Rattus norvegicus: one gene and its partners. The protein of the gene in region 3 binds, or shares a complex with, the protein of the main gene of each other region. Links are inferred from orthologs where the notes say so. Each region holds a gene or a part of one and is shown on either strand. Other genes may lie near its edges. The genes, in order: Sos1, Plaat3, Kras, Mapkap1 and Ralgdsl2.

Region 1 (3,509 bases), on a different chromosome or scaffold from region 3:
ATCTTCTTTTGTCCACACACTTCCAACTAATTCTGATGGCTGCACAGCTCTAAAATCATCAACATAAAATGGCACATCACATTTCTCCTGAAGTATACAGTTTACTACATAAGAGAAACTAAACTACTTCTAGAAGGGCTGCTCTTTTATCAATAGGAAGTTGGTGAAAACAAGGAGTATTTATAATTTTTTATGTTTTCAGATTAGAAATATTTTGGCAGACACTCTTGCAATCCAATTATTCCTCGCTGGTTTGCTTTAAAGGCAGTGTCTCCCATGTAGCCCAGCTAGGCCCTTACTCCCTGTGCCCAGCACCCTGAGTGCCGCACTGCTGCACACATCACCCAGTGCTTATGCCTAACGCACACTTCCGCGTACCGTCCTCCCTAGCTCTTCCAGACGTTATCTGCTAGGTTAGGACGGGAAGGCAGCCACTTCAATGGCATCGGTGAGTAACCAGCGAGGCACAGCGATTACTAATTCAGTCTTGGTTGGCTTTTGCTCTTACAGTGGGTAGAAAAGAAAACCCACCCTGCAAAAGTGTCTGAGAACGAACTGTAAAATTCTCACATTATCATTTGGGAACCATGATAAATGTAGGTGCAAGGATTTATAAATTTAGCTCTTTTTCTCATTTTGTGATTAATAATTTTGAGGTTCTAAATAAAATTTCAAACCAGAAACATGTTTTTCGGATAGTTTTATCAATGAATAATATTAAACTATAAGGGGCCATGGCTGGCCGAGACGTAACTGTAGCTCACTGGTGGCTCTAGTTTGCACTGTGGAGCACTAGTCTCTATGTGGCTGCTTTGAGCTCGGTCTATAATCACACACACACTGGAAACCTCACGACCCACAAGTTAGTACAAGCTGCAGCCAGCAAATGGTGCTGCCAGGATTTGAACCAAGCTTACCAAGCAGGGGTAACTGAAAGAGCATAAAGGTAAGCAGATCAGTAATGCCTGAGGGGGCAAAGGACCAGACTGACTGCAGCACCTGATGCTGCACACACACACCGCCCCCTCTGCATCTCATGACAACACTAGAAGACAAAATGTACTCCACTTCTACAATGAACTCAGATAACTTCTGAGCTTGAATGTTGAATAACATACCGGTATAGATCTGATTCAAGTAAAGTGAGTTGTCGAGCAATTTCTATTGGGTGTAGGGTGAGCAAGTCAAAAGTCTCTATATGCCCAGGTCTGCTTATGTGCCACTCAACTGTGGGAGGTGAATTCTGAAATGTAATATTATGACCTGGGCCATTGTCTCTTGCAATTTTTTTCCTTTGGATTATCTTAGTGATGGATTCGACCCATTTTTTCATTGCTTTACCTGAAATACATTTTAACAAACATTTAAATACTCTTTAACACTTTGTTTTTAAAAATGTTTCAAGTAAGACAAGTGATACAGGAATAAATCATTACTATAAAGTTCAAATGAGCAAAGCAGATCCTGTAAGTCCCTCCCCAATCTCCTCATCCTTTCCACACAGGTAATCACTGTGAATAGTGTGAGGTCAAGCTAGACCTTTCCTAGACACATTCTAAAAGTAATTTGATTTTTTGCCTCCAACATTTTGAATCTTAGTTCAAAATACTAGTTTCACATTCATATTCCATATAAAATGAAAGATTAACAAGAATAAGTTCCATACATTCACATATCTAACTAATACTGTACTTTATAACCCAATTATGAGGACTGATTCATCATATGTTTCTATTTTTGTGTGCCTATGTACTTACAGGAAATAATCTATGTAACCCTGTACTTTCTGATTTTTTTTTTCAATTTCTTTTTTTTTTTTTTCCGGAGCTGGGGACCGAACCCAGGGCCTTTCGCTTCCTAGGCGAGCGCTCTACCACTGAGCTAAATCCCCAACCCGTATTTTCTGATTTTCATGTTGACTGGACAATGGATATAAAACCAAATTTGTCTAGGCAAACTTGGGAGTCATATAATCACAGAATTTTTAAAGTAAGGGAAACTCTGAAGATAATCAACTGTAGTTTCTCATGCTTTTTCATAAGTAAACTGAATGAATCTAAAGAGTCAAAATTATATTTCTGATTAGTGGTGTTAAAAAGCAATCTGTCAGTGTGATATACTATCATCTCCTTGACTTGCTCTATTTACCTAACCATGCGCCTTTATCAACAAGTGTTGCAGTCGTAAAAGAATTCCAGCCTGTACCCAGGGTAAACAAAGTTTCAATTAAGTGTTCTAGCTTAGCCTGAGACTAACAGAACCAGTTCTGTAACAGATGACAGTATGCTGAGTCAGCAGCTGCCAATGCTGGGTTTTGTTGTTTTGTTTTCTGAGAAAGGGTCTCACTACTGTAGTCCTGGCTGTCCTAAAACTCACAGAAATCCTCCCCATCTGCCTCCTGAGTACTGGGATTAAAGGTATACTCCACCACACCCAGCCTAAATGCTATGTGATAAGAATGTTTAACATTTTTAAATTAGCTATAACGGCGTCAATTGACAGTAACCATATTGGTAATTTTATCACATATAAAAGTAAGAACTTAAGAAAAACATACCTCTTACTGTTCCAATAAATTCCTCCATTCTCTGTAAAAGGTCTACATCTCTTTCAAAGTCATAGAAATGGTGCTCCACCCAGTGCCGACACACGTTTAACACCCTGTGCATTGATGCAACACAGAATCAAACATTAAATGTACCCGCTGAGACTGGCGAGCGGTCTCCTAAAGCTGTAAGGACTCGGATAAGACTTAACCCACTCCGTTTGCTCCCCTTCACCTTTGCTTAGCAACAGTTTTCAAACATTTCCACTTTTTTCCCCCAGGGCTTTGTTTTTCCCAAGACAGGGTTTCTTTGTGTAGCCCCGGCTGTCCTGGAACTCAGAGATTGGCCTGCCGCTGCCTCCCAAGTGCTGGGATTGGCCACCACTGCCCAGCTTTGAGCCTGTAGACGGTCTTCAGTACAGTCTTACCTCAGCTGTACAGGCTGGATATACTCCTTTCTAAACCTTTTCAGCTCTGCGCTCAGGGGCTGATCTCCATTCTCTATAGCTATGCGATCAGCTTCTGTTGGCTCAGGCTCTGGAATTTCAAATCTAACAGAAAACAGAAAAAAAAAAATAACAAAAATATTATATCAAATCCAAATTCCCAAACTTTTATTTATACTTATCAGTACAATCAAGAGAATAATGTAAGAAATTACTACAGATACAGACACATCAGTGAAAATCCACTTTTATAAGGTAAAAGCTAATGATAATTTTTTTAAAGTTAATATTTTAAAAAGTTAGTTTTGCCAACAGCTAAAACTAACTAGAAGCAAAATAAAAATACATGTAAAATTTAAAACAAGTGAGGCTAATGTCCATTTTTAGTTGTAGAGAACTCTTAAATCAGTACATATAATTTTAAGGGTGACTAATGATTGAAACTTGATTCTTTTTTTTTTTTTTTTGGTTCTTTCTTTCGGAGCTGGGGACCGAACCCAGGGCCTTGCGCTTCCTAG
Region 2 (3,989 bases), on a different chromosome or scaffold from region 3:
GAGGCCCAAGTGGCCCACTGGGTCACCACTGGATACCATTGGCACGCTGGCCTTTCAGAATTCAGGTTTCAGTTTTAGTTCTCATTTCCAGGAAACACTCATTACTGTGGGCGGAGATGAAAGGAACTTTCATCCAAACCTCCTCGCCAGTTAGAAAGTTGAGGGCAAGGAGAGAACTAGGCTGAACTTTTCCTGCCACCTCCTCCCATAAAGCCCTGCCCAGCGGGCCACTCTTGCCTCCCACCACCAGCTGTGCATTTTTAGTTTGGATTAGGGCTTTGTTTTTTAAACTTTTTTCCTCCTCTACTTTATGCGTATGGGTGTTTTGACTGCATAGGTCTGTGGATCCCATGTGTACAGCACCCTTGGATGTCAGGAAAGGGTGTCAGGTCACTTGGGATGGGAATTACAGCCCATTCTTAGCTGGGCTAACATATGAGTGCTGGAAATTTAATCCAGTCCTCTGGAAAAGCATCCAGTGCTCTTAACCACTGAACCATCTCTTCAGCTCTGTTTTCTCCCCCCCCCCACATTTATTATTTATTTGCTTGTTTGTTTGTTTAGGGTTTTGTGAGACAAAGTGTCTCAGCAAAGCCTTGGTTGTCCTGGAACTCATTCTGGTTTCAGGCTAGTCTCAAACTCAGAGATCCATTTGCCTCTGCCTCCCTAGTGCTGGGATTAAAAGCATGTACCACCACTACCTAGCAGTCATGTTTTATTTTGTTTGAAACAAGGTCTCTCTACATAGCCAGGATAGCCTCCAACTCTGCATCCCGAGTGGCAGGGTTACAGGTATGTGCCACTATGCCCACCTTCCTTCACACCCCTGTAGATGAAATGACAATACGTACTGAGCTAGGGCAGGAGAAAGGATGGTGAGTCTCCATCTTAGCCCGAGAAGAGAGGAACCATCAATGAGATCTAATAACTTCTATATAAGCCTGCAATTAGTGCATATTTTTTCTTACTCTTTTAATTTAAAAAAAAAGGTGGGGCATTGATATGGCTTATCAAGTAAAGGAGATTGCTGCTAAGCCTGATGACCTGAGTTCAAATCCCAAGACCCAAATAGTGAAGACCTGCAAATAGCTCTCTGACCTCCACATGCTTGCCATGGCATATGCATGCCCCCCCCAAAACACACACACACACACACACACACACACACACACACACACTCAAATGTCACACACACATACATATATACAAATATGCTTTTTAAACTGTCTACTACAAGAAAGTTAAATCAAAGAACACACAGTTGCACAATCAAAACACACAACTGAGACACGCATGTATTTTGCTAAGAGTCAGTTCCTCATGGCTCCGCAGAGTTCAAGCTTTAGACACAGTTTACAGTGCTAACTTCTGTGGTCTTGGGTTTTCCTGGGTTCAAACAGAAAACAAAACAGCCTGGCCTCACAATACCAGAAACAGAAAGTGCAGCCTAGAGCTAGACCCTTGGGCTGTTATGAGAACTGCTAAGTGGTGTTTTCACGTGGGAACAGAATAAATTTGAACTTGATTAAACAGGTACTTAGCTGGAGCACAAGCCCCAGTCTGCAAAAACCTACAACCTGAACCAAGTCAACAGAGCCCTGTTAAAGTGAAGAAGACATTTGCCTGGTTACATCTCAAGACATCAAGGGTTAACAAACAGAGTCCTGGGCTGGGGTGTGGCTTGGTCGGTAGAGTGTTTGCCCAGCATGCAGAAGGGCTTCACAAAACTGGGTATGGTGCCTCACATCTATAATTCTAGCACTCAAGAGGTGGAGGCCGGGAAACCAGAAGTAAAAAACTGTCCTCACTAAATAGCAAGTTTGAGGCCCAGCCTGGGCCACAAAAGCAAAAGCAAAACAAAAATCAGAAAGTTAAGAGAAGGGGGGATGGAGGGAAGAAAGAAGGAACGGCCAGAGCTGAGTATTTGCTGGCAGCAGGGATGGCTGTGAGTCAGCTGACAAGACAAAAATCCAGCAGATTCAACTTCAGACATTCGACCCAGGAACCTGCCCAGGGTCCTGGTTTGACAGGAAGACCAACCCCCAACTTCCCTCCCTCTTCAGTCTCCTATTGAGCCTGTTACAAGGGTGGCTTCCAACCTGCCCACTTCAACAAGCACTGACGCTCAACAGGTGGCAACTGACCCCGCAGCTCATACAGGATCCCCGAAGGGTTGAAAGTATAGCTCCCTCATTACAAAGCTCTTCTCTTCAAAACAGCAAGTCAGACCCCGAGAAGACAAGAGTCACCATTAAAACACTACCTCCATCCCTAACCCACCCTCTCTCCTCTCCCTGTCCTCTCACCCTGTACTTACTATGGGCATTTTCCTTTCCAGGATATGTGAGGCTCAACTTCAGCTTAGCAGCGCCGTGGATGCCTAAGGAACAGAGGATCAGAGCTCATTATGTCTCTAACTAAAGAAGCAGGGTCCCCAAGTCTCCAGGAGCTGAAACGCTTTTAGCAGGGCTCTCCAGAAACGCCCACCAAACTTTCTCGCTCTCCTCCGCTCTGCCCTGCGCTTGCCCTTGAATCGACAAATCCCTCGCTGTAGGGCAGAAGCGGCTCACAAGATCCCTGGGCTCCCTGGGCTCCCGCAGGGTCCCTGGCCAGGCACTCGCGCGCCCCTGGCTCCTTTTTTCCGCGCACGGCGGATGCCAGGCGGGTGACAGCTACTCGCCTGACTTGTTTATGCCCGACTTGTTTACGCCTGCCGAATCGCTCTCCACCTCCCAGACAGCCCTCGGGGACCCGCAGAGGCACCCGGGCTTCTCACCTTTGTTTAGGTCCCAGAAAAAACTCTCCAACCTCCTCACGCCCCAAGTAGGCAAGTGGAGGCCGGCGCATTGGGGGCCGGCTTAATGGCCCCAGAGTCCAGGCCGCGCCAGGTCACCCCGCCCCTCCTCCCGTAACTGGCTAATGAGAGCAGCGCCAAGGGCCTGCTACTCTGTTCTCATTTAGATGCCTCCCTCCCGCTGCGTTCCTGGCCTCTCTGCTCCTCTGCCCCAGATTCCCAGGCCCTTGACAGCTCATACACAACCCTCGGTCAGTTTGTAACATATAAGAACATGTCACATGGAGTTACATTTAATCTTTTTTCATGAGTGACAGCAAAGGGCTATTTGTCAAGAGTGGCACATGCTTGAAATCTAGCATTTGAGAAGCTGAAGCAGGAGGATTGCCATGAGTTTAAAGTTAGCCTGAGCTACGGTTGGAGATCTTGTCTCCAAAATAATAATAGTAGTAGTAACAACAACAACAATAACAACAACAATAATAATAGCAACAATAATAATAATAGCCAGGTATAGTTGTTTATGCCTTTGTTTCCTGCGCTCAGGAGACAGAGGCAGGCTCATCTCTGTGAGGCTAGCTCTATGTAGTGAGTTCCAGGAGTGCCAGAGCTATGTAGAGAGAGACCTTACCTCAAAAATCCAGAATATAATAATAAAAATAAAAATAAGAACAACAACGGTAAATGAGGAGATGGCTCAGAGGTTAAGAGTACTTGCTACTACCCCATAAGAACAATAATGCCAACCAACCAGAGCTTCCAGGGACTAAACCACTACTGAAAGGCTGACCCAGGGCTCCAACTGCATAGGTAGCAGGGAATAGCCTTGTTGGGGCGCCAGTGGGAGGGGAAGCCCTTGGTCCTGCCAAGTTTGGACCCCCAGTGCAGGGAAATATGGGGGGTGCAGTAAGGGGGATGGATGGGGGGAATACCCGTATGGGGGAGGGGAAGGAGGTGAGGATTTATGGATAGGAAACCAGGAAAGGGAATAACATTTGAAATGTAAGTAAAGAAATATATATAATAAAAACAAAACAAAACAAAACAAAACAAAAAAAAAAAAACCAAAAACAGGACAATGTGATCGCAAGGGGGAAAAAAAGTACTTGCTACTCTTGCAAGGGACCTCAGTTGGTTCCCAGTATCCACGTGGTGGCTCACAACCATGAGTAACTCAGTTCCAGGGGATCTGATA
Region 3 (3,509 bases):
TAGTCTGGGCAACACAGCAAGACCCTGTTTCAAAGTGGGCAAAAAGCATGTGGGTGTGCACATGTGTTCACACACACATGCTCACACCCACACCCACACATTCTATTAATCATTATATAGTGGCAAGGTAATATGCATTTAAAATTAGCAAAAATGTACTGATAAAAATATGTATTCTATAACCTATATCTTAAAAATAGAATATAACTTCTTTCATTAAATATATGAATTTAGCTTTAAAATGGTAAAATCAGCCTGTTGTAGGTCGAAGGTCTTGTGCATCTACTGGAGTCTCATCGGTTGCCTTCTATAAAGGTTGAGACTAGCACACTACAACCTAAAGGCCAAATACGGGCAGGGTCAACTGCTCTGGTATTAGCTGACAAGCAGTTTTAATTTTCAAGGCTTTTTTGGGAAAATAATGTTTAAGATACCACTTTGCTCTCTGGGTCTCTGTAGAAAATGCTTGCCATGCCCTGACTTGTATCACAGAACTTCTCAGTGAAATGTTCAGTTCCTACCACCATAAATACAAGTCTGTGGTGCTTTTGTTAGGCTGGAAAAACAACAAAATTTCAAGCAGACAAATACATTAAGGACGGGTATATGTAGCTAAAATAACAAATAAGCAGGGCTGGAGAGTTGGCTCAGAGGTTAAGAGCACTGACTGCTCTTGCAGAGGTTCTGAGTTCAAATCCCGGAAACCACATGGTGGCTCACAACCATCTGGGATCTGATGTCCTCTTCTGGTGTGTCTGAAGACAGCGACAATGTACTCACATACATGAAATACACACACACACACACACACACACACACACACACACACACACACACACAAATAAGCAAATAAAAGACAGTAACAAAATACTCCCCAAAAGGAGCTCCAAATCTTCCCCAAAATTGAAGGTAAAATTTATTAAAATGTACCTTGGATATTATAAATTACCAAAATTATTTGGAGTAGCTCTTTAAAATCTTCCAAAACTTTAAAATATTAAATTATTTTTAAGAACTATTAATGATTTTTCAAAGCAAATTAATTTCTAAAACAAGTCTAGTGAAAAGTGAGCATTCAAGTTATAGTTAGGCAATATATTGTATAAAAAAATCCATAAATTACGAATAAATACAAGAAGGGCTAAGCACGGCTTAAGAAGTGTCTGTATATCTTAACTCTATACATGTTAGACAACTTACACTATCTAAAAACCAAATTTAAGTTCATCTATTTCTATACCGTATGCCTTTAACCTGACAAAATGAACTGGGCATGGTGGCATATGCCTGTAATCCCAACACATGGGAGGTAGAGGCGAGAGTTCAAGGCCAGCCTCTACTACATAGTAAGTCTGAGATTTGCCTGGGCTGTCTCTGTCAAAACACAAAAACCAAACATAAACAAAGCAAAACAAATTTTTAAATTTCTAAATTTTTAAAGGTGTTGGTAGTATGTGTGTCACAAAACACTGTTTTTTTTGGTTTTTTGGTTTTTTTTTTGGTTCTTTTTTTCGGAGCTGGGGACCGAACCCAGGGCCTTGCGCTTCCTAGGTAAGCGCTCTACCACTGAGCTAAATCCCCAGCCCCACAAAACACTGTTAAAGCTAGAAAGCTATTTTAAAAGGAGAGGAGGTAGTGTTCTAAATCAATAATGAACTACAGTATACCAAAGCATTAATGTCAAACACAAATAATAAATTAAATTTAAGCTATTTAAGAGCTATTTAAGGCTCTTACCAAATGAAAGGTGGAGAGCAACCCAGAGATGATAAGCCAAGAGACTCCTTTCACTGTGCTCTATGGCTTCTACTCAAACTGTGGCCCAACTCTCCAACCAGCACCACCCGACAATGCAAAGGAATGCGCAACATGGGCTTCAACACAAACACAATGTCTGGACTTTGACTTTAATAAGGTCAGCTGATTTGTGTGCATATTCTAGTCCAAGAGGCCCTTTCTTCTGTGTTTACAGCCAGCCCAGTCTCGGGCTTTTCCTTTTCTCCATGAAATGTCAACTATGATTGATGTTCACTAGTATGAAAGGTGCCTTTGCAAGTTTAAACAATTGAAGGAGTAAAGTATTAATGGTAAAATCTATACAGTATGTTTTCAATAAAATTCCTTACATTGAATTATTTCATAGGAGGACTTAGGGAAAAGTTACAGATATTATAATTATATGTTCTGGGCTGCTTCTAAATAAAATCAAGAAGACTTGGAAATAGAACATAGAAACAAACCTCTCGTGCCTTTGGACTGCGGGATGGACTTGGATAAAATAGCTCCCTACCCTGAAGCCGAGTGATGCACACCAAGTCTCTAGAAACTAAGTAAACTGTGAGCCAACTGGCACGCAGGAGATACCCACAGACAGTCAGACTACAGAAACTCACTTTTTAAGAATATCTAGTTGCTTTCTAAATATTCCCTTACTTTAATCACAACTTTCTCCCTGAAGAATAGACCCTCAAAAACTTTCCGCCAAAAAATAATTCTTCAAATACAACTCAACAAATCCTAAAAACTGCTTCTAAAACAGGAAAGTCAAACTTTATTCCATCATTCTGTCTTTATCATTTCAGTGGGAAAAAATTTCCACATTTCTTGAATCCTAAATGTAAAATGTACTCTAGGCAGAAGAAACAATTTCAAAATGAAAAGAAAACGGAATACCAGGCATAGTGGAGGACATCTGTCATCCCAGCACCTGCAAGACAGACTTAGGGGACTGAGAGTACAACCCCAGGCTGGGTACAGAGACCATTGCAACCCCTACCATCTATCTACACCCCCCTCTCTCCTGTGCACACATGGGGGGTGGGGGGATCCAAAGTAATATTGTGGTTCCTAGATAAGAAGTACTATCTACTTGAGAAGACATTTGCCAAATAAACATTATTTTCTATGTTAGAATAATAGAAAGACTGGAGAATCACATGAAATGAGGAACATGTAACAATAGTTATGGTGGCAAGTAGACCCCAATGACACCATTTGGAAATGGAGAACAGTGGTGAGCATCATTTGGAGCACCCGGCAGAGTAGACGCACATCTCTCCGGTGGCACTCACCTGTCTTGTCTTCGCTGAGGTCTCAATGAATGGAATCCCATAACTCCTTGCTAACTCCTGAGCCTGTTTCGTGTCTACTGTTCTAGAAGGCAAGTCACACTTATTCCCTACTAGGACCATAGGCACATCTTCAGAGTCCTTTACTCTTTTAATTTGTTCTCTGGGGAAGAAACAAATGGAAGCAGAAGCATAAGTAACACAAAAATACTTCAAACTTTGACCTCAACTTCATCTTACAAAACTGTATTGAATCGTTTCTTCATATGAATCCTAGTTTCTACCCTACCAAAATGTCCTCATTTCTCTTATTTTCCCTCTAAAACAAAAACCTTACATATCTGTTTGTTCATATGCATATATAAAATAAGAAATATACTAAAGTTTCAAATCAAAATGTTTAAAATATCTTACAAACAAGATATATATACATAAATGTGT
Region 4 (4,215 bases), on a different chromosome or scaffold from region 3:
TCCTCCTGCTTCCTTTCTGGAATGTTGACTGGCTTCGTCTGTGTGCTTCTTGTACAGGTAACCAGAGGTAGTGAGATTTCATGAATGCAGGGAGCTTGTCATGTCCAGAAGGTACTGTTCCCAATGTCATTGATGGTCCTTTCAGTGAAGGTGTGATGTGTCCTGCTGCTGGGTATTTGATCACACTGTAAACCCCAAGACTGTGTTAAGTTACAAAAAAAAAAAAAAAAAAAAAAAAAAAAAAAAAAAAAACAAGCAAAACAAGCAAACAAACCTGTTTTTAGTTGTGGTGTGGCTTAGTCCTTAATTCACACCTTTAATCCCTCCGACTGAAATACAGACGAGCCCGAAATACAAACCTTTAATCTCAAACAACGAAGGTAAAGTTAGTTGGTGAAAGGAAGCAGCCATGTTTGAAAGTGATGTCTAATTGAATGTCAGGCAAAGTGACGAATCAGAAAAAAGATTTGACAGGATAGGACATGCCCAACTCTCAAGAGGAGGTAAAGAGGCAGTTTTACTGAGAAAGTTTTATAGAGACAGGTGAAGACAGAATGAGTCAGAGAACAAGGAGGAGCCAGGAGATCAGTACAGATTGCTTAAATTAATACCACGCCTACCAGAGCAGTTCAGTCGGAAGCTAAGAGAAGCCAGATTGAATCAGTCAGCTTGGAGAGTAGTCTGAGCCAGAATAGCCATCCAACGATCAGAAAGAACTAGAAAGCAGGAGTGCATTCAGCAGGAAGTCTCGGAGGCTGAAAACGTTCTAGGCCTAGATTAGATTAAACAGAGGCTATAAGCTTCCAGGACTAGGCCTAGATTAGCTGACTTGAGTTAGTAAGCCTCCCAGACAACAAATACAACAGGAGAATAAAAGTTATGTACAATGTCCCACTGTGGCTGAGCACTCCACAGACACTTCATCTCTGCACTTTGGCCAGTTATTAGTTTCTGTATTAACCATTGCTGCAGTAAAAACAAACAAACAAACAAACAAACAAACACTTCTCTGATTAGGTCTGAGAGCTTCGCTAATCTGGGATTTTAGATAGTAGTTTAAAAAGCGTTTGGTATGTCCATGTAGCAAATAATAGTTGCGGTGAACTCTTCTTTCTGATATGGCAGTAAAGCTGAAGACGTTTCCCTATAAAAGTAAGCAGAAAATGCTTACAGCGATCCTTAACACTTGACAGTAAACAGAAGTCAGTTAACCTGCTCCAGAAACGGCTATGGGCAGTACGCATGCGCAAGACACCCCCAGACCCCGCCCCTCGTCCCGCCCCCGGGAGGCCAGGGCTTCTCGTTCCTGGCTCTGGGGCTTGCGCACTGCGTCCCCAGCCAAAGGCGTCTTGCCGATCAGGGACTTCCGGTACGCCGGGTACGGTTCCGGGTCGTGGCGCTGCTCTGGGTAACAGGGTTGCTGTTGCCGGCCGGCAGCTGCGGGGAGCGGCGGGGTCATGAGGGCGAGCCCGGGGCGCCAGGGCCGAGCCGGCCGGTAGGATTGCGGGTCCCCGAGGACTTCGTGGGCGCAGGGTTCGGTGTAGGGGCCGGGAGGCGTAGGGGAGTCAGGACCTCCCTCAGGGACGTGTCCTGGGCGAGGCGGCCTGTAGTGCTGGAAGCAGCTTCAGGTAAAGGTTGCCCCAGCCGTCGCCCCCTCGCCCGCGGAACCCTCCGACCCCTCAGCACCCCGCTGTCCTCGCTGTCCAGCGGCGCCCGTTGGGGCCGTGCTCGGTGGCCTGGGAGCATCCGTTTCCTGGCAGCCTGACAGCTGGGTGTGTGACTTAGGTGAGGAGAGACTTTGGACCTGGTGGTGTGGGGGCGGGGGTGGGGGCGTCCTTGACTCTGGCTGTTTCAGGACCCCGAACTCTGCAAGGTCCGGTGCCCACGCTCTATCCTGTGAAAACAACTTTTCAAAGCATTGCCTGGGCAGTCCTGAAACAGTCCCACAGATTGTTTACTTACCTAGAGTGCTGCTGGGAACTTGGATTCCGTTTTTCTGTTTATGGGACTGACAAGGAATGGTTTACCTGTGTGTGTGTGTGGAGGGGGTAGTTTAAAGAAGTGTATAACTCAAGCCAGAAACTATAAGATGAACCAGGGACCTGAAAATTTGTTACAGCCTCCTTTGAATGACCGCAATATTTGAAACTGGCACTGTCCTCAACTCCGTGCAAAACACCATGTTTGTTACAAACCCCAAAATGGCCAAGTTCAGAACCTTCCCAGGTATAAACAGTCATGTGGGCAGACACATCAGTTTAAGAGGTCGGCATTCACATAGCCAACAAAAAAGGATGGGTCTCTGTTTTGAGCAACCCCCAGAGCCGAAATAAAGTGCGTTCGCTATTCCTAGGTTTAGGAGCCACACACGCTGTAGTCAAAAATTCTTTCTCAGTGATAATTGCACCCATCTTTTTCAGTCACACCCCCTCAAGCTTACTGGACTTTGGGGAGCTGTGTACTCATATATGCCTTTAGCTAAATGCACTGCCTCTGTGACCTTGTGGCTCTTGGCAGCTTTTTACAGTTAACCTTTTAAAAGCTCCACTGTGCTCTTAACCACTGAGCCAACATCCTTTGGATGTTTCATTTAGTAGGCATTCATTGTGCATGGGTATAGGTCAGGTACTGTATGGCAGTTTCATAAGTGAGACCCAGTCTTAATGTGAGCGGTTACTCCAGTCTACAGAGACACGGTGTGAAAGTTTTTCTGTCATACAGAAGTAGTATGTCATGTCAGGTTTTTGAGAGATGACACTCAGTGAAGGGAACGAGCATAACGTGAGGTAAATGAGTTTCAGTTTTTCCTCACTTAATCATTTTAATTCAGGCTGACTGACAGGAAGACACAGGATAGTTGCACAGCTGGTATGAGACGGAGCCGCCTTCTTACCAGGACACACCATGCAAGTACATATTGAAGCAGCTGAGTAGGAGGGAGAATAACACGTTGAAGTGGAGAGTGCAGACAGTCCTCTAAAGGTAGACAAGGCCTGTCGTAGCTGCTTGGTAGGCTGAGGCAGCAGAGTACTTGCACAGATTGCATGAGCCAGCCTGGGCATGGTGAATGGCTCAGTGGTTAAGAGCATGGGCTGCTCTTCCAGAGATCAGAGGTCCTGAGTTCAGTTCCTTGCACCCGCATGGCAGCTCACAGCCATCTGTAACTCCACTTCCAGGGGATCTGATGCCATGTTTTGGCCTCTGTGGATGCTAGGCAAACAGGTGGTGTTTATACACACAAAAGACCCATATACATAAAGTAAAAAAATGCTGCATCTTTTTTTTCCCATATGGAGAAGTTTAATGAGAGAAGAAGAGTAGGAGAGGGAAGAAGTAAAGGCAGACCATGAGCTCGTGGGGGGGGGGGGGGAGGGATAAAGGGGAAGAGGGCAAGAGAGCAGAGAAGAAAGAGCAAAGAGCAAAATGCTACATCCTAAAAAGGGGGGAAAAGCATATTGTCTTTCATAGCATGGAGATAATAGGTGGGTACATGAGTGGAGGATAGATAGGCATGGTCTCTGGCTTTGTGTTTTGTGTGGCATGCTCTCCTCACTAGATATGTGACCTTTGCTAACTCAAGCCAGCGTTTTATTCTTCTTGGGAATGGAGTACTATGGATATTTAGTAAGCTGATCTGAATTAAGAACCAGGGCTCACCCCATCCTCCCAACCCTCCAGTGTGTCTGAGGCTAGCCTGGTCTACAAAGTGAGTTCCAGGACAGTCAGAGCTACACAGAGAAACCCTGTCTCAAAGAAGAAAGAAAGAAAAGGAAAGAAGGAAGGAAGAAAGTAAGAGGTAGAGCCTGAGTCTGTGGCTTGGGCTTTCTGTGAAGCATTATAGATTGGGATTTCAAGTTAGTGACACTCATCTAGTAAAGTCTAAAAGTACTCCAAAACTTAGAAAAAAAAATCCAAAATCTGAGAACATTTCTGACGCCAAGCATTTTGAATAAGGAATTCTCAACTGGCAATTGTAGGTCTGCCTAATATTAGTTGTAAGGCCTCTGGGATATAGTCTTAGAGGGTGAGTCGGTTTCTAGTCCGAGTAAAGCAAGCCATTGCACATGTGTTTAAACTGTTAGAGACTTATTGGAAGTCAGTGTCCCATGAAGTCTTACTGAAAGCAAATTACAAAAGCTTCAGTCCCATCACCAGGATATTGCCATTCTTGCTTTTAGCAGGCATTTGAGATGTAAACCAGAGAACTCAAAGCCA
Region 5 (4,303 bases), on a different chromosome or scaffold from region 3:
AAGAAGCCCAACGAATTTTTTGTTATGTGGGCTACAGCTATTGGAATAGAACTAAAATTTTAAAATGTGGGGGAGAAAAAGCGAGGCTTAGTTAGTGGCACACTCATTTGACCCTGGCAAGGCACGTGGCAGAGGTACGTGGATTTCTGATTTCCATGCCAGCCTGGTCTACAATAAGGAGTTTCAGGTCAGTCAGGGTGTCGTAGCAGGGCTTTGTTGAGAGAACCAAATACAAGAACATATATTCACAGGTCAAGAAGAACCACTGGGGGTTGAGTGGTAGAGCGCTTGCTTAGCAAGCGCAAGGCCCTGGGTTCCGTCCTCACCTGGGGGGGGGGGGGGACGGGACACTACTGTATGCCCTAGAGAGGCGGTTCTTAGCCTGTAGGTCATGACCCCTTTAAGTCCATCGGGAATACCAGACATTTATTTACATTAGGATTCACAACAGTAGCAAAATCAGTTTCGAAGTAACAAAAGAATTTTACAACTAGAGGAACGGTGTTATAGGACTGTAACATTAGGAAGGTTGAGAACCACTGCCCAGGGAATTGACGATAGGGCCACATAGCATCTTAGCGTTCTAGGGACCTTTGGGACAACCCACAACAGTAGTCTAGAGACGAAGGGGTACATGTGTCGCCTATGGAGTACTAATGCCTACCTCTCCAGCCGTCCATTCGTACCACAGAGTTTCCTTTGCCTCGTCCTTTCACGAGCGTCCCCCGTGCAGTCCACCGGCTGTACTTAAAGGATGGCTGTCCACTCCTGTCTGCCGGGCCTCGTGAGCCAATAAAGTCTTTTAGAGTTTTCATGAGGGTCTCTCGTTCTCTGGTTTCCAAGCACAGCCAACATCTTGGTCCCCCTCCAGTCTTCCCACACGCGGGGCGATGACACAGCCATCTTAGGAACTGAGTGCGCTCTGGCGCACCGCGAGAGCCGGAGGCCGGGAGCGACGGACCAGAGTAAAACCGGAAGTGGCGCACTAGCCGACTTCCGTCCCCCTCCCCGCGCGAGTGGGCGGGCTTAAGGGCGGCTCAGAAAACTCGGCGCGGATTTGCTCCGCTGCACTCGTGCTGGCGCGGGTGGTGTCATTCTGGGGCCCCAGTAACGGGGTCGCGCCCTCACTAGGGCGCTTCCCTCGGGAGTTGCTGCACTCACTGCTCTCGTTAGAGAAAGTGATTTAAAATCCCGTACTTGCCCTCCCGTGGAGGCTTGAGACAGGACCCTGACCTCCCGCCTGCCTGTGCTGGGAGGCATGGGCTTCGGAATCCCCGAGTAGGGTAGTAGGGGACAGTGGAGTGGGGCACCTGGAGACTGCGTCCCAGCCCCTGGCATCCAGCACTCCCCTAGTCGGTAGCCCTGGCTCCTGTCCTCACTTCCTTCCCTTTTTGGCTCCTGCTGTCGGGCGGACGCGGGGAGGGGGGAAGCGGAAAGGGCGGGAGGGCCCGGGAGCCCGGCGGGGTGCAGGAGGGGGCATCGCGGAAAAGCCAGGGAGGGGACTCGGTAGAGGGCCAGAGACCGACAAGAACAGAGGCCCGGGACCCGCGCGCAGCCCCTCACCCTTCCCGAGCAGGTCAGAGCCGGAGCACCGGGTGACCCTGCCCATTCCGCAGTAGTTATGCCCCTAACCCCTAGCACGCCCCGAGGGCTCGGGTTTCCCTACTCCTGTATCTCCCCTCCCCCCCAGCCTTCCTGAGGGACTCCCACCCAGGTCCCTTCGTGCCCAAGTCCCCACGCCCGTCTGACTCCACCCCAATCCCACCCGTCTCTCCCCAGGCACCCCCAATGGCCCGACCCCGCTGATTCCTTCTCTCGGCCATGCTCCCGCGGCCCCTGCGGCTGCTTTTGGACACGAACCCCCCCGGGGGAGTCGTGTTGAGCAGCTTCCGGAGCCGGGACCCCGAAGAGGGTGGGGACCCAGGTGGCCGGGCCGTGGGCGGGGGGCAGGAGGAAGAGGAGGAGGAAGAAGAAGAGGTGAGACGCGGGTGGCGGGAGGAAAGGCATTAAGTATTTCTGAGACTCTTCTCTTGGTGTTTCTGGGTCCCTCGGTCTCTTCCTCCCTGCCTCCCTTTCACCCCGCCACGCTCTTTCTCTGGATATCTGTCCCCTGGCTGCGGGTCCTGGTGTCTCTGAAGTTCGCCCTGTCCGTCTGACTCGGAACCCGCCCGCAGGAACCTGCCGAGTTCCTGCCTGGAATGTCTGGCTGGCAGGCAGGATGGCTGTGCCTGCGGGGCTCAGGCCCCCTCTGCCCACACCTGCCTCTGACGGCTGCCACTGGGCAGTTAGTTGTGTCTTGGTCCCTGTCTCCCTCCTCGTTTTTGTTTGGCTGGGAGGGGTTTGTTTCCACAGTAACCGGCTCCTCAGACTCTAGGATTGGGGAGGGAAGCCTCTGGCTTCACCGCCTCTTCCCCCACCCCCTGGTGCTCAATAAAGGGCAGCGAGCCAAGAGGTTCTGGCACCTGGAGAGATGATCCCAGGATAGGTAGAGCGTGGTCATCTTCGTCCTTAGGGATTAGTAGTTGTGACTGTAGCTGCAGGATTTAGGGTTTCAGGAGGGTTCAGAAGTTAGAATCGGAGCCTGAGGACTCAGACTTCTGGGCCCCGACATTGGTAAAGTTAGGGTGACTGGCAAGGCTGGTTTTTCGGGATCGGTCGGGGGAGGGGCTAGGGCCACATGACTCTTAGTCTACCGCCCCCACCCCCCCATCATCCCTACTTCCCCTTCTTGTAACTGGGATTGGAGCCGCCACCTTCAGGGGGTCCCCAGTGCTGAGATTGAGTGGAAGCTGTATTGGGGATCCGGGGAAGGGAGTCTGCGGAATTTGGGCTCCTCTGGTTCAGTCAGGGAGGGCGGGTCTTGTGAAGTTTCAGCTTCAGGTCTCTCCGCCTTTGGCTTTGCGCTTCTTCGGGCGCTCTGCTTGTGACTTTGCACCCCGCTTTTCTGCTGTGTTGGGCTCAGCTGTGGGGGCAAGGGGATTTGGGGGCGACCAGAAGTGGGGTTCCTGCATTCAATTGAAACCCCGACTCCAACCTCTTCAACGGAGCTCTGAGGTGGCTAGTGGGGCTGTCTGAGCCCCAGGGTGGGGTAGACCTGGGGTCACCAGTACCCTCTACCCCTCGAACTCGCTGGTATTGTCCCCTGCCATCGCAGGTGAGGGGTGCAGAGGGAGGAGCAGGGCCTGGGGACGATGGCTGGGGACTGGAGGTGCTGTGGAACTCACTTCCTCTTCTTGCTCCTCCAGGCTTCTGTGTCAATCTGGGATGAGGAGGAGGATGGTGCGACCTTTACTGTCACAAGCCGCCAGTATAGGCCTCTTGATCCCTCGGTGAGATCATAAGCTTTGCGGTCCTGACATTCAGTTTTTAATTTGATTTTTTTTTTTTTTTTTTTGGCCAGAGCACTAGATTGGAGGTCTGGTAGCACTCTTGTGTGATTTAAGCCATGTCTGAACTCTGAACTGTGGAGAAAAAAAAAAAAAAAAAACTAGATCTGGACTATCCTAGATGATGTTTAGCAGTAAGATTGAGGAGACCATCAGTGAGACACCCTCCATGTTCTCCAGGCCCCCTTGCCTCCGCCTCGCTCCTCCCGAAGGCTCCGTGCTGGTACTCTGGAGGCCCTGGTCAGACACCTCTTGGATGCCAGGACATCAGGGGCTGACATGACGTTCACTCCAGCCTTGCTGGCCACCCACCGGGCCTTCACCTCCACTCCTGCCCTGTTTGGGCTTGTGGCTGACAGGTCAGGAGCCAAGGGTGAGGAGGCTCCTGGATTCCCTCTGAGTAACTCTCAGCACCCGGGTGGGGGCTGAAAAAGCTGCAAGGTAGACTCTCTCCTCCTTCCCAGGCTGGAAGCCCTCGAATCGCATCCTCCGGGCGAGCTAGAGAGGACCACAGGGTGAGTGGCCCTGTCTGAACCGCAGTCTGCTCAGAGGGAGCTGAGGCTGGACCTCTGACCCCTGGCTGGTTCCCCTTCTCTCAGGGTAGCCATCTCTGTACTTTCAACCTGGCTGGCCTCTCACCCTGAGGATTTTGGCTCTGAGGTCAAGGGTCAACTTGACCGGCTTGAGAGCTTCTTGCTTCGGACAGGGTATGCAGCACGGGAGGGTGTTGTGGGGGGCAGTGCTGACCTCATCCGAAACCTCCGGGCCCGGGTGGACCCCCGGGCCCCCGACCTTCCTAAGCCCCTGGCCCTTCCTGACGATTCCCCTGCTGACCCCACGGATGTCCTGGTGTTCCTCGCTGACCACTTGGCCGAACAGCTGACCCTGCTTGATGCGGTGAGACCTTGACCTTTGAC

The links.
Region 1: the proteins of Kras (region 3) and Sos1 are in contact, whole or in part, in a crystal structure (PDB 8BE4), measured with the Homo sapiens proteins. The link is inferred for Rattus norvegicus from reciprocal best matches to the Homo sapiens genes KRAS and SOS1. Residues at the interface, in NP_001356715.1 of Homo sapiens: Ser17, Ala18, Ile21, Gln25, Asp30, Glu31, Tyr32, Pro34, Thr35, Glu37, Tyr40, Asp54, Ile55, Leu56, Asp57, Thr58, Ala59, Gly60, Gln61, Glu63, Tyr64, Ser65, Ala66, Met67, Arg68, Asp69, Gln70, Tyr71, Arg73, His95; in NP_005624.2 of Homo sapiens: Lys602, Trp809, Thr810, Lys814, Leu822, Met824, Ile825, Arg826, Thr828, Thr829, Thr832, Leu833, Leu872, Val875, Ser876, Asn879, Ser880, Ser881, Pro882, Tyr884, Ser908, Asp910, His911, Tyr912, Lys913, Phe929, Phe930, Gly931, Ile932, Leu934.
Region 2: the proteins of Kras (region 3) and Plaat3 are in contact, whole or in part, in a crystal structure (PDB 7C41), measured with the Homo sapiens proteins. The link is inferred for Rattus norvegicus from reciprocal best matches to the Homo sapiens genes KRAS and PLAAT3. Residues at the interface, in NP_001356715.1 of Homo sapiens: Ala11, Gly13, Lys16, Ser17, Tyr32, Asp33, Pro34, Thr35, Ile36, Thr58, Ala59, Gly60, Gln61, Asn85, Asn86, Lys88, Asp92, Tyr96, Lys117; in NP_001121675.1 of Homo sapiens: Leu65, Tyr66, Asp67, Val68, Ala69, Gly70, Ser71, Asp72, Lys73, Tyr74.
Region 4: the proteins of Kras (region 3) and Mapkap1 are in contact, whole or in part, in a crystal structure (PDB 7LC1), measured with the Homo sapiens proteins. The link is inferred for Rattus norvegicus from reciprocal best matches to the Homo sapiens genes KRAS and MAPKAP1. Residues at the interface, in NP_001356715.1 of Homo sapiens: Ile21, His27, Val29, Glu31, Asp33, Pro34, Ile36, Glu37, Asp38, Ser39, Tyr40, Arg41, Leu56, Glu62, Glu63, Tyr64, Ser65, Ala66, Met67, Asp69, Gln70; in NP_001006618.1 of Homo sapiens: Phe280, His287, Gly288, Phe289, Ser290, Leu291, Ile292, Gln293, Lys307, Lys310, Arg311, Arg312, Lys313, Gly314, Ser315, Phe363, Glu365, Ile369, Val374, Met377, Leu378, Ser380, His381, Tyr484, Glu487, Ser488.
Region 5: the proteins of Kras (region 3) and Ralgdsl2 are in contact, whole or in part, in a crystal structure (PDB 8B69), measured with the Homo sapiens proteins. The link is inferred for Rattus norvegicus from reciprocal best matches to the Homo sapiens genes KRAS and RGL2. Residues at the interface, in NP_001356715.1 of Homo sapiens: Ile24, Gln25, His27, Val29, Glu31, Asp33, Pro34, Thr35, Ile36, Glu37, Asp38, Ser39, Tyr40, Arg41, Lys42, Tyr64; in NP_004752.1 of Homo sapiens: Ile651, Arg653, Glu660, Asp661, Gly662, Ser663, Val664, Tyr665, Lys666, Ser667, Ile668, Leu669, Lys685, Lys686, Asn688, Arg689.

What each region holds. Positions count from the first base shown.
Region 1 is NC_086024.1:20,338,109-20,341,617, reverse strand, and holds part of Sos1 (son of sevenless homolog 1), read right to left. Parts: intron 3,097-3,509; coding exon 2,974-3,096; intron 2,662-2,973; coding exon 2,558-2,661; intron 1,342-2,557; coding exon 1,119-1,341; intron 50-1,118; coding exon 1-49.
Region 2 is NC_086019.1:214,210,693-214,214,681, reverse strand, and holds the start of Plaat3 (phospholipase A and acyltransferase 3), read right to left. Parts: upstream 2,804-3,989; 5' UTR 2,777-2,803; exon of another isoform or gene 2,681-2,776; intron 2,381-2,680; 5' UTR 2,327-2,380; coding exon 2,318-2,326; intron 1-2,317. UniProt on the Homo sapiens protein: Exhibits both phospholipase A1/2 and acyltransferase activities. Shows phospholipase A1 (PLA1) and A2 (PLA2) activity, catalyzing the calcium-independent release of fatty acids from the sn-1 or sn-2 position of glycerophospholipids.
Region 3 is NC_086022.1:179,929,162-179,932,670, forward strand, and holds part of Kras (GTPase KRas), read right to left. Parts: exon of another isoform or gene 3,232-3,509; coding exon 3,072-3,231; exon of another isoform or gene 1-3,071. UniProt on the Homo sapiens protein: Ras proteins bind GDP/GTP and possess intrinsic GTPase activity. Plays an important role in the regulation of cell proliferation.
Region 4 is NC_086021.1:38,112,006-38,116,220, forward strand, and holds the start of Mapkap1 (target of rapamycin complex 2 subunit MAPKAP1), read left to right. Parts: upstream 1-1,412; 5' UTR 1,413-1,785; intron 1,786-4,215. UniProt on the Homo sapiens protein: Component of the mechanistic target of rapamycin complex 2 (mTORC2), which transduces signals from growth factors to pathways involved in proliferation, cytoskeletal organization, lipogenesis and anabolic output.
Region 5 is NC_086038.1:4,955,332-4,959,634, reverse strand, and holds the start of Ralgdsl2 (ral guanine nucleotide dissociation stimulator-like 2), read left to right. Parts: upstream 1-1,499; 5' UTR 1,500-1,576; intron 1,577-1,779; 5' UTR 1,780-1,821; coding exon 1,822-1,977; intron 1,978-3,020; exon of another isoform or gene 3,021-3,154; intron 3,155-3,245; coding exon 3,246-3,329; intron 3,330-3,566; coding exon 3,567-3,745; intron 3,746-3,850; coding exon 3,851-3,901; intron 3,902-3,985; coding exon 3,986-4,283; intron 4,284-4,303. UniProt on the Homo sapiens protein: Probable guanine nucleotide exchange factor. Putative effector of Ras and/or Rap. Associates with the GTP-bound form of Rap 1A and H-Ras in vitro.